Linked DNA regions of Ovis aries. The protein of the gene in region 1 purifies or fractionates together with the protein of each later gene. This does not show direct contact. Links are inferred from orthologs where the notes say so. Each region holds a gene or a part of one and is shown on either strand. Other genes may lie near its edges.

The links.
Region 2: the proteins of AATF (region 1) and NGDN purify together in Homo sapiens (affinity purification with mass spectrometry; 3 studies listed by BioGRID and IntAct, with this or other methods). This does not show direct contact. The link is inferred for Ovis aries from reciprocal best matches to the Homo sapiens genes AATF and NGDN.
Region 3: the proteins of AATF (region 1) and NOL10 purify together in Homo sapiens (affinity purification with mass spectrometry; 4 studies listed by BioGRID and IntAct, counting the BioPlex papers as one, with this or other methods). This does not show direct contact. The link is inferred for Ovis aries from reciprocal best matches to the Homo sapiens genes AATF and NOL10.

Annotation. Positions count from the first base shown.
Region 1 is NC_056064.1:13,005,509-13,009,155, reverse strand, and holds part of AATF (protein AATF), read right to left. Parts: intron 2,538-3,647; coding exon 2,109-2,537; intron 1,381-2,108; coding exon 1,243-1,380; intron 1-1,242. UniProt on the Homo sapiens protein: Part of the small subunit (SSU) processome, first precursor of the small eukaryotic ribosomal subunit.
Region 2 is NC_056060.1:21,271,530-21,274,132, forward strand, and holds the end of NGDN (neuroguidin), read right to left. Parts: coding exon 2,487-2,603; intron 2,399-2,486; coding exon 2,230-2,398; intron 1,503-2,229; coding exon 1,346-1,502; intron 1,206-1,345; coding exon 1,148-1,205; intron 699-1,147; coding exon 679-698; 3' UTR 533-678; downstream 1-532. UniProt on the Homo sapiens protein: Part of the small subunit (SSU) processome, first precursor of the small eukaryotic ribosomal subunit.
Region 3 is NC_056056.1:19,750,866-19,754,512, forward strand, and holds part of NOL10 (nucleolar protein 10), read right to left. Parts: intron 2,438-3,647; coding exon 2,264-2,437; intron 2,016-2,263; coding exon 1,768-2,015; intron 1-1,767.

The sequences.
Region 1 (3,647 bases):
AAATGACAACAATAAGCCTCAAGACTTCCTTGGTGGTCCCGTGGCTCCAACCCCGTACTCCCAATGCAGGGGGCCCAGGTTCAATCCCTGGTCAGGGAACTAGATCTCACATGCCGCAACTAAGAGTTCACATGCCACAAGTAAAGATCTTACATGCCACTACCAAAAATTCTGCATGCCACAACCAAGACCCAGCACAGCCAAATCAATCAATATTAAAAAAAAAAAAAAACCACTAAGTCTCAGCCTGCAAACAAGGGATGGCAATCCCAGCACCCCATACCTCCCTCAGCCCCAGTCCTCAGTGCCGCTGGGCACACGGGCATACAGCAGGCAGCTCCAAGACTGGAAGGCAGAAAAGGCTGGAGGAGTCTGTCTCTGCCAGGAGGGATCTGGCTATATAACTATGGGCAACTCACTCTCTCTGGACTTTGGTTCTCTCATCTGGAAAATAATTACTAAACTCCTTTTCTTTTCTAAAATTCTGGGACTTCACAGACCAGGAGTTCTTTACAACTTTTTCTTCCTTCTGTGGTCCCCACCTTCTCCTCACTCTATGCAACTCAGAGGAAGACAGAAGTAAGGTCATCTCTGTATGTTGTTCTAGAAACTACCCAACAAAGCAAGGCATCCTTTAAGCACATGATACACAACTTAAACCAACTGAGTTTAGTCACTTACTGTCTCCCTTTCGTTTTGTACCAGTGGGTTCTCTCTGAGCATTAAAAGAGTAACTCAGGGACTTCCCTCAAGGTTTGGTGGCTGAGACTCCGCACTCCCGGTGCAGGGTTCCCAGGTCCAAACCCTGGTCAGGGAATTGGATCCCACATGCTGCAGCCAAGAGTTCTCATGCCACTACTAAAGCACCCAGCATGGCGCAACAAAGATCAAAGATCCTGTGTGTCCCAACTAAGACCCAGCCCAGTCAAATAAATAAATACAAAAAACCTAGATTTTAAAATAAAAATTTTTTTAAATTACTCAAAACCAAGGGGAGGAGGAGAGCATGTGAGATCAGGGGTAGAAATAAGGAGAATAGACAGAACTCCATCTGTCTTGATCAAAGTTGCCTTCATCTGACAAAAGGGTTATACTGCTATCTTTTTTAACTTAAAAATCACTATCTTATATCATCACTAAAGCCAAGTCTTCTCAACTCCGTGGTGCTGTGAATACAATCCCAGTAGATCCCAATGAACCCCCAGGGTTCTGTGCATCCCAGTGAGGCATAAGTACTCTTACTGTTTTTCAGGGCGCTGGCAAATTCTGGGCCACCTTTGTCCTTGAAGACAGGGAAAACATCTGGTTGAGGAAGCTGATTGGTGGTCAGCAGAGCCTTTTGCAGCTTTATCCTTCCTTCCAAGAGCTGGTCCCACAGTGCTGAGACAGAAAATAGAATTCCATTTCTCAGTTATAAAATCTTCCTGGGGTGGGGAGTAGGGGAGGGACCAGAAATCAAAACAGCCTCTAAGCAGCACGGCTTTATCACAGTTTCATGCGATGGAGACGCTCTATTTATTACAGGAAATAAATCCAGTATCTGGACGCACGAGATATCTGGATAAATCCAGTATCTTGACTTGCTACCTGAGAGAAAGGATGCTACAGCCCAATGAGAGAAGATGCTCGTCTCCTCAACCTTCCTCAGCCGCCCGAAGTACTAGGGCAGAGCCAGCGAAGCAGGTGAGGGTAGCAGGGGTGGGCCAAGCAGAGGGGAATGGTGCTTTAGGCCTCTAGGTAAGTGGGGCACGTCACCAACAAACTGACAGGACACAAGACACAGGAGAGAGCAAGGGCTTCCCTGGTGGCTCAGATGGTAAAGAATCTGCCTGCAGTGCAGGAGACGTGGGTTGGATCCCTGGGTCGGGAAGATCCCCTGGAGAAGGAAATGACTACCCACTCCAGTATTCTTGCCTGGAGAATTACACAGACGGGGGGGCGTGGCGGGCTCAGTCAACAGGGTCACAAAGAGTTGGACAAGACTGAGTGATTAACACACACACACATACACACACACAAGGGAGAGAGCAAACTGCCTAAAACAAACAGACAAACAAAACGGAGAGCAAATGCAGACACTCTGAAAAACAAGCAAACAGTGTACAAACCTATCTGATTCTTCACAGCTCGGCCTTTCTCCACCTCCTCGGAAACTCTGACCTCAGAGAAGGTCATCACCACCCTGTCGTCCTCACTGGCCCTGGATTCGGCCTTGTCTTCCTCACCCGCATCTTCAAAGTCTTCCTCACCTTCCCCTTCTTCCATACCACTCTCCTCCTCATCTTCCTCTTCCTCCGCACTGCTACCAAGGTCGTCCATTCCCTCAGTAAATTTTTCAAAGTCACTGATGCTCTGGACACTGAAGCCCGACGATGTCCGTGAGTGGCTCCCGCTCCTCTTCTTCCAGGCCAGGCTGCTGTCCCCCTCGTCCTCACCCTCCTGATCCTCAGCACTCAGGGCTTCCTCATCAAACTCCTCCAGGCCCAGGCCCTCTGAATCTCCATCTGCAGACCCGTCGTCATCAGATATTTCTTTATCTAAACGAGGGAGGGAAAAGGAAAATCTTGAAACAAACACTTGGCCATTTCTTTCGTTTCACCTAAAGGATCATGGCACCTGTCCAGACAAAAAAGTATTACCGTACTCAATGCAAGTCAATAGCACAATCCCTATCACACTAGTGATGCTTATTATTAAATACTTATTAAGCACCTATTATGAACCAGCCGTGGATAAAAACTAGAGACTGACAAGTAGAATGCAGCATCTGTGGGGAGGGGTTCACAGTCTGCTAGGAGTGGTAGATATACACAACCAACAACCACACCGCAGTGTCGTTAGAATAGTGAGAGATGGCTTCAGGTGAAAGACACCTTATAGCTTCACTTATTAAGCATAAGTAGCAGCTCATCAGACGGAGAAACGGGAAGGAAAGGAAAAGCAGCAGAGACAAAGATCCAGCATACAGAAGTGTCCTGAGGGAATTCCATGGGCAGCCACTGCTTGCAAGCCTCCCTGCCAACGCAGGGGACAAACATTCGACCCCTGGTTCAGAAGATTCCACATATTGTTTGGTGCAAGAAGGCAACTAAGCCTGTGCGCTGCAACTACTGAAGCCCGTGCACTGTAGAGCTTGCTCTGCAACAAGAGATGCTACTGCAATGAGAAGTCCATGCACGGCAACTAAAGAAAGCCTACATGAAGCTACACAGACTCAGCACAGCCATAAATTAATAAAAAAAAAAAAAAAAAAAAACAAGTACATTGAGGTGCAGGATGCTGGGATATGAGCTCAGAGAGTTATTCAGGGGTTTTTGTTTTGTTTTGTTTTTTTAAAATTTTAGGCTATGCCATGCAGCATGCAGGGCTTCCCAGGTGGTGCTAGTGGTAAAGAACCCACCAGCCAAATGTAAGAGAGGTAAGAGACGCAGGTACGATCCCTGGGTTGGGAAGATCCCCTGGAGGACATGGCAACCCACTTCAGGATTCTTGACTGGAGAATCCCACGGACAGAGAAGGCTACAGTCTATAGGGTTGCACAGAATCAGACATGACTGAAGCAACTCAGCAAGAACACAATGCAGTATGCTAGTTCCCTGACCAGGGAGCCAACCCGTGCCCCCTGCAACAGAAGTGCAGAATCTTAA
Region 2 (2,603 bases), on another chromosome or scaffold:
GGTCAAAAAGATACATTGCCTGCGTGCAGTCGTGACAGACTCTTTACCACCCCATGGACTGTGGCCCTCCAAGCTTCTCTGTCCATGAGATTTCTCAGGCAAAGATACTGGAGTGGGTTGCCATTTCCTCCTCCAGGGGATCTTTCCTGATGCAGGGATTGAGCCCACATGTCCTGCATTGGCAGGCGGGTTCTTTACCACTGAGCCACCTGGGGATCCCCATAAGATACATAATAAATCTTAAAATGTCCGTATATTTCAGATTATCTGCATTATCACAACAATAAATCATACAAGAACTTGGGGCAACATGGGGGTAAAAGAATGTATTACACTACTCTAATCTCTCAATATTTTTTGACTAGCCAATTTCTAGTTTCTGGGGAACATATTTGTCAAAGAAAACCATATAAAGCCAAACTTTCTTATTCTCCCCCAAGATCTCCTCTTTCCCTTTTCCATCACCCTCTCACCAAAAATACCCACACCCAGAGATTCCAGTCATATAATACATGTGCAAAAGGGGCTTGAATTTGTTAAGTAAAATCAATTTTATTAATAAAGGTCTTTCCACATGTCCAGAGTATATGATTAATGAATTCCAAAGAAAAAACCTACATACAATGAAATTAGAAGTATCCCAGATGACAAAAATAAATTAAGTATGTACACCCATAATCACCGCCGCCTCCGAAAACCTGAAAGGAAGGGAAACCAAGAATGAGGCAAAGGACAGTTGGAAAAAACCGAAGAGACAGACAAAAAGACCATCTAGAGAAAAGGGCTCCTTAGGAGTGGGTCCCCGTGGCAGTGCTCTGTATCCTCCCAGGATGAGAGACAGGAAGGAGGAAGGAAACTGACATTGGATAGCAGTTCCTTCAAGCGATGCTTTTATATTTACGTAAGCAAGCCTGCACAGGAGCTATGGGGATTTCAGAGACAGAATCCAGAAGTCTCTTTTGTGAATGATACTGATTTTCATCTTGGAAAAGAAAAAAATAAGGCTCACATCTAAAGAGATTAGTGCCCAGTATGGAAGATACACTGTAGAGGTTGGTAAGAACTAGAATGGCAAACCCAGAGCCGGCATCTCAATTTATAAAGCCCACCCTGCGCTTGATCACCCAGGTCTGAGCCATTCACTCACCTTTCTTCTTCCGACCTTTCTTAGGTATCTTCTTCCGCTTCTTAGTAGGATTTTGATCCTGGAGATGCACGGAGAAGGGAAGGAATGGCTGTGCGCTTTCAATATTAGTGTCCCTTTCCAAGTTCCTCGTGGTAATAAGCCCACATACAGTTAGCTGAAGCATGAAGGTCACCTCCCACCACTGGATCAGCACCTCACCTCGTTAAGATGAGGAGTTCCTCCTGTCAGAGCACTGATGTCACTGAAGTGTGTGAGGGAATGAAGCTGTGAGCTCATGACATTTGCTCGTTTTCGCCGTCCTTTCTCCCGCTTGCTGACACTTAAACGCACCATCATGCTCTCCTCATAGTTAATCCTGCAAGAGAAACATAGACAGTTTCCAGCATGCTCAGTCCACTGAGGCAGAAAGCTGCAGCCAAGAACCTGGCCCAGGTGTTTACTCAGCCATCATGTAGACAGTTCTCAAGAAATTTCATAGCTAGTCACCACAGTATTTGCTGAGGTGATACTATATGCTCAGTACTCAATGTTCAATGAAATGCTCTTTGTGCTAAAACGTCCCTCCTCCCCAGAAATGAACTCACAGCCCGTCCACAGGAATATTTAAATTATTACATAAGAAAATTCTTTGTATTCCAGCTTCATAAACAGGATCCCCTCACTGACATCTATCGACTATAGAGACAGTCACCTAGGCAAAGTTGACAAATTTGTGTTCAACAATTGCTTTTCTACTTTCCTTCCCTAAGCTAATCTAAAAACCTGATTTTCTTGCTTTCTTCAGAAAATAAAGAGCAGGGATAGTGAAACAGAACTTTAGAGCCTTAGTCAGTGGCAATGCATATTTTTTTCCTCCATGGAGCATTTGCTCAGCTTGAACAGCTTGGGTCTGAGGGGTGGGAAAACAACATTTTTCCCCTAGTCCCCATAATGTACTTCAAAACTCTAATTCTTAGAAATCATTAACCCAAGTTTAGTACTCCATTTCCTACATAACATGGGTTCTCTTGGAATCAGATTAATCATATTCATTCAAAACAAAAGGACAAGTCCCTATAGCATAGAAACAACTTCTAACACACCTGTGTTGATCCTCCTGACTCTGGCGAGTAACATGAGGATGCCGAGCATCTCGGATTTCCTCTGGAGCATCTGAGTACTGCTCCTTTAGCTCACGAATGACAGAGCTGCTCAATGCCCGTCTCTTGGCTCGTTCTAGGCGCTTCTTCTCCCGCTCAGCTTCTGTTTCATCTATGTGATTAAAAATCAGCAAGGGTTATCCCAGAACAGAGAAGAGAAACACAATTCACACAGAGGAAGCAGCAGCCACAGTTCATACCATAATGAACTGGAACCAAGCGTGGTGGGACGTATTTCTTAGCTGTTCCTTTTCCAGATTTCTTCCCTGAAACCCCAGACTGGCCTTCCTCTGCTTCATCTTCCTCCTCATCCTCAG
Region 3 (3,647 bases), on another chromosome or scaffold:
CCATGCAAACACATATACAGATGTTCACAGCAGCACTGAAAGGTTGAAACACCAAGCATACCCATCAACTGATACATGGATAAATAAAATGCAGCATTACCCATACCCTGGAATAAAGCTGAATGGAACAGACACATGCTACCACATGGATGAACATTAAAGACATCATTCCAAGTAAAGGCAATGGGACAAAATGCCACATATATGATAACATTCACATGAAATGTCACAAAAGACAAACCTATAGAGCTAGAGAACAGATCAGTGGTTGCCTGGGGGTGAGATGAGATGGAGTAAATGGGCGTGAATACTGACGGATGGGGTAAGGAACTCTGCTTGTGGGGCTGTGACGAAACGCTCTAAAACTGACTCTGGCGGTGGCTGTCCAACTCTGTGACTATACCAAAAACCAGTGGACTATGTACTTTATGTATGTGATAGTTATGTAAATTACATTTAAAGAAACTTGTTACCAAAAAAAAGTGAGGTTGGTAGGTAAAGAAAATCTTCTCATGAGATATTAAACCTATTACTAGATTGTTTGTCTACTGATGTATCTTCTGTTAGGCACAGCCAGAATTTCTAGATGCTCCTGGATCTAAGTTGAAGGATTCCCTCAACATTTTGTGCCTCAGACATTCGCTAGAAACTGGCAAAATAAAGATGAATGGGCATCTCTCCATTCCAGAAACAATTCAGTCTATCTATCAATGTCCTCCCCACCTTTCCCCTCTTCTTCTGTCTGAAAAAGCACAATTTTCAAACCAGGAAGCTGGGGGTTAGAAAAGCACAGGGCACAGAACTGGAACAGCCCCTGTCTGATGCCTCATCTGCCTTGCTTGGCACCCCCCGCCCTTTCCCCTTGGCCTCCCAGACCTTTAGGCTCTTCTTACAAGATTGTCTACTCTATTACATCCAGATCCCGTATATCAACACTCGGCCAAGAAATTCTCAAAGCAGAGAATTTCATGTGACTCTCATGTGACTTAGAGCTTATAAACACTGGGGGCTTAAACACCTAACTCCTTACTTAGACACCTGACAACTGAGACTGTTCAAATAATACCATTTCTTTTTAACGATGACTTTTTAAAATTTTTACTGTAGTAAAATATTTAACCATAAAACTTACCATTTTAACTATTCTTCAGTGAACAGTCACACTGTTGTGCAACCATTATCACTATCCATTTCTAGAACTTTCTCATCATTCCAAATGGAAACCGCATAGCTCATTAAGTGGTGTCTCCCCAGGACCCAACCCTGGCAACCACCATTCCACTTTCTGTTCCTGTGTACTCACCTATTCCAGAATACCATTCTTTCTGATCTCTTTGTTTTCCTACATAAAGCTAAAAAAATTCCTGGCAAATTTTCCAAGTGACCTTTTAAATACTCAGATAAGCTACGATGAGAGTAAACGTAACTGAAATATTTTAAAAATAACTTTTTGTGAAAAGAAGCTGTTACCTCTACAATTGCCACCATCATTTTTAAGAGTGTGGGTTTTGCAGAATCAAAGTGCTCTAATGTACGTATTTACCAATACTCCTGGGGCTACACCCTGCATCCTACTCTATGTAAACTATGCCTCAAAAAGTTGTTCAGAATCACTACAGTAAGGACCAGTGTATGTCCCCTCTGGCCTCGAGCTGCTACTGTCACATGAACTCCAAAGATCAAGATGACCCCTTGAGGGCACAGGGCCAGCCAGGAAGAGCAAGGCTGGACACTGAGCAAGCCAGGATCAGGGGCAGCATTACTCACTTCATCAGCTTCTGTTTTGTGGCTGAATCTTTGAAGCTTCTGAATTCCTCGCCAGCTTTGATCTCATAGAACTGCGGCTTGAGGACCGTCTGCTGATCCTCCCGGAGCTGTTCCTGCCTCTTCACTTTTTCCTCCTGTTGGAGAAGCCGGCGCTGTTTCCTGACCTCTGCGACCCAGTCTTTTTCATCATCTGAACTCTCAGAACTTTCTGCATCACTTGGTTTTCCTTCCGGTTCTTCCTCCTCTTCCTGAAAATAAAAATAGTTAAGAAGCAGCTCCTTTCCCTCTGCCAAAAATATCGACCCGTTATTTCCTTTTAAATAGCATTAACCTATCAGAGTCTGTGACATTGCGTGCATTAGAAAAAAGTCTTTAATAAAAGAAGGTATATTCCTAAGCTGAAGGTCAAACAAATTATAGCTTTATTCAATGACTCTTCTAACCTATACAGAAAACTAAATATTACACAAATTCTAAATGATAAACAGTACATTACTTTTCCATGAAGTTCCTGTTGTTCTAAGAGTCTCAGTTTCTTCTTCCTTTTTTCACTAATTTTGGAAACAAGTGGATTCAAAAGCCTAAATTCTTCACTTTCTTCGTCTACTTGGAAGTCAGGGTTCTCAAACATAACTTTAAATCGATCATCAGTGAGAATATTAGGAAGGCTCTGTAAGAAAAAGAATGTCAAAATTTAAAGTTAATATTAGAATAAAATCTGCCCAGGAAGACAGCTTAAAAACATCTTACTCAACAATTTATTAAAAAGCAACATAAGAAAATAATAGCAAATGAAGCAACTGACAAACAACTAATCTCAAAAATATACAAGCAACTTATGCAGCTCAATTCCAAAAAAATAAATGACCCAATCAAAAAATGGGCCAAAGAACTAAATAGACATTTCTCCAAAGAAGACATACGGATGGCTAACAAACACATGAAAAGACGCTCAACATCACTCATTATTAGAGAAATGCAAATCAAAACCACAATGAGGTACCACTTCACACCAGTCAGAATGTCTGTGATCCAAAAGTCTGCAAGCAATAAATGCTGGAGAGGGTGTGGAGAAAAGGGAACCCTCTTACACTGTTGGTGGGAATGCAAACTAGTACAGCCACTATGGAAAACAGTGTGAAGATTCCTTACAAAATTGTAAATAGAACTGCCTTATGACCCAGCAACCCCACTGCTGGGCATACACACCGAGGAAACCAGAATCGAAAGAGACACATGTACCCCAATGTTCATCGCATCACTGTTTATAATAGCCAGGACATGGAAACAACCTAGATGTCCATCAGCAGATGAATGGATAAGAAAGCTGTGGTACATATATACAATATATATACATATATACAACGGAGTATTACCCAGCCATTAAAAAGAATACATTTGAATCAGTTCTGATGAGATGGATGAAACTGGAGCCGATCATACAGAGTGAAGTAAGCCAGAAAGAAAAACACCAATATAGTATACTAACACATATATATGGAATTTAGAAAGACGGCAATGATGACCCTGTATGCCAGACAGCAAAAGAGACACAGATGTGTATAGCGGACTTTTGGACTCTGAGGGAGAGGGTGGGATGATTTGGGAGAATGGCATTGAAACATGTATACTATCATGTAAGAAACGAATCGCCAGTCTATGTCCGATGCAAGATACAGGATGCTTGGGACCGGTGCACGGGAATGACCCAGAGAGATGTTATGGGGAGGGAGGTGGGAGGGGGGGTTCATGTTTGGGAATGCATGTACACTAGTGGTGGATTCATGTCAATGTATGGCAAAACCAATACAGTATTGCAAAGTAAAATAAAGTAAAAATAAAAATTAAAAAAAAGGCACAATTTACTAAATTATTATGAA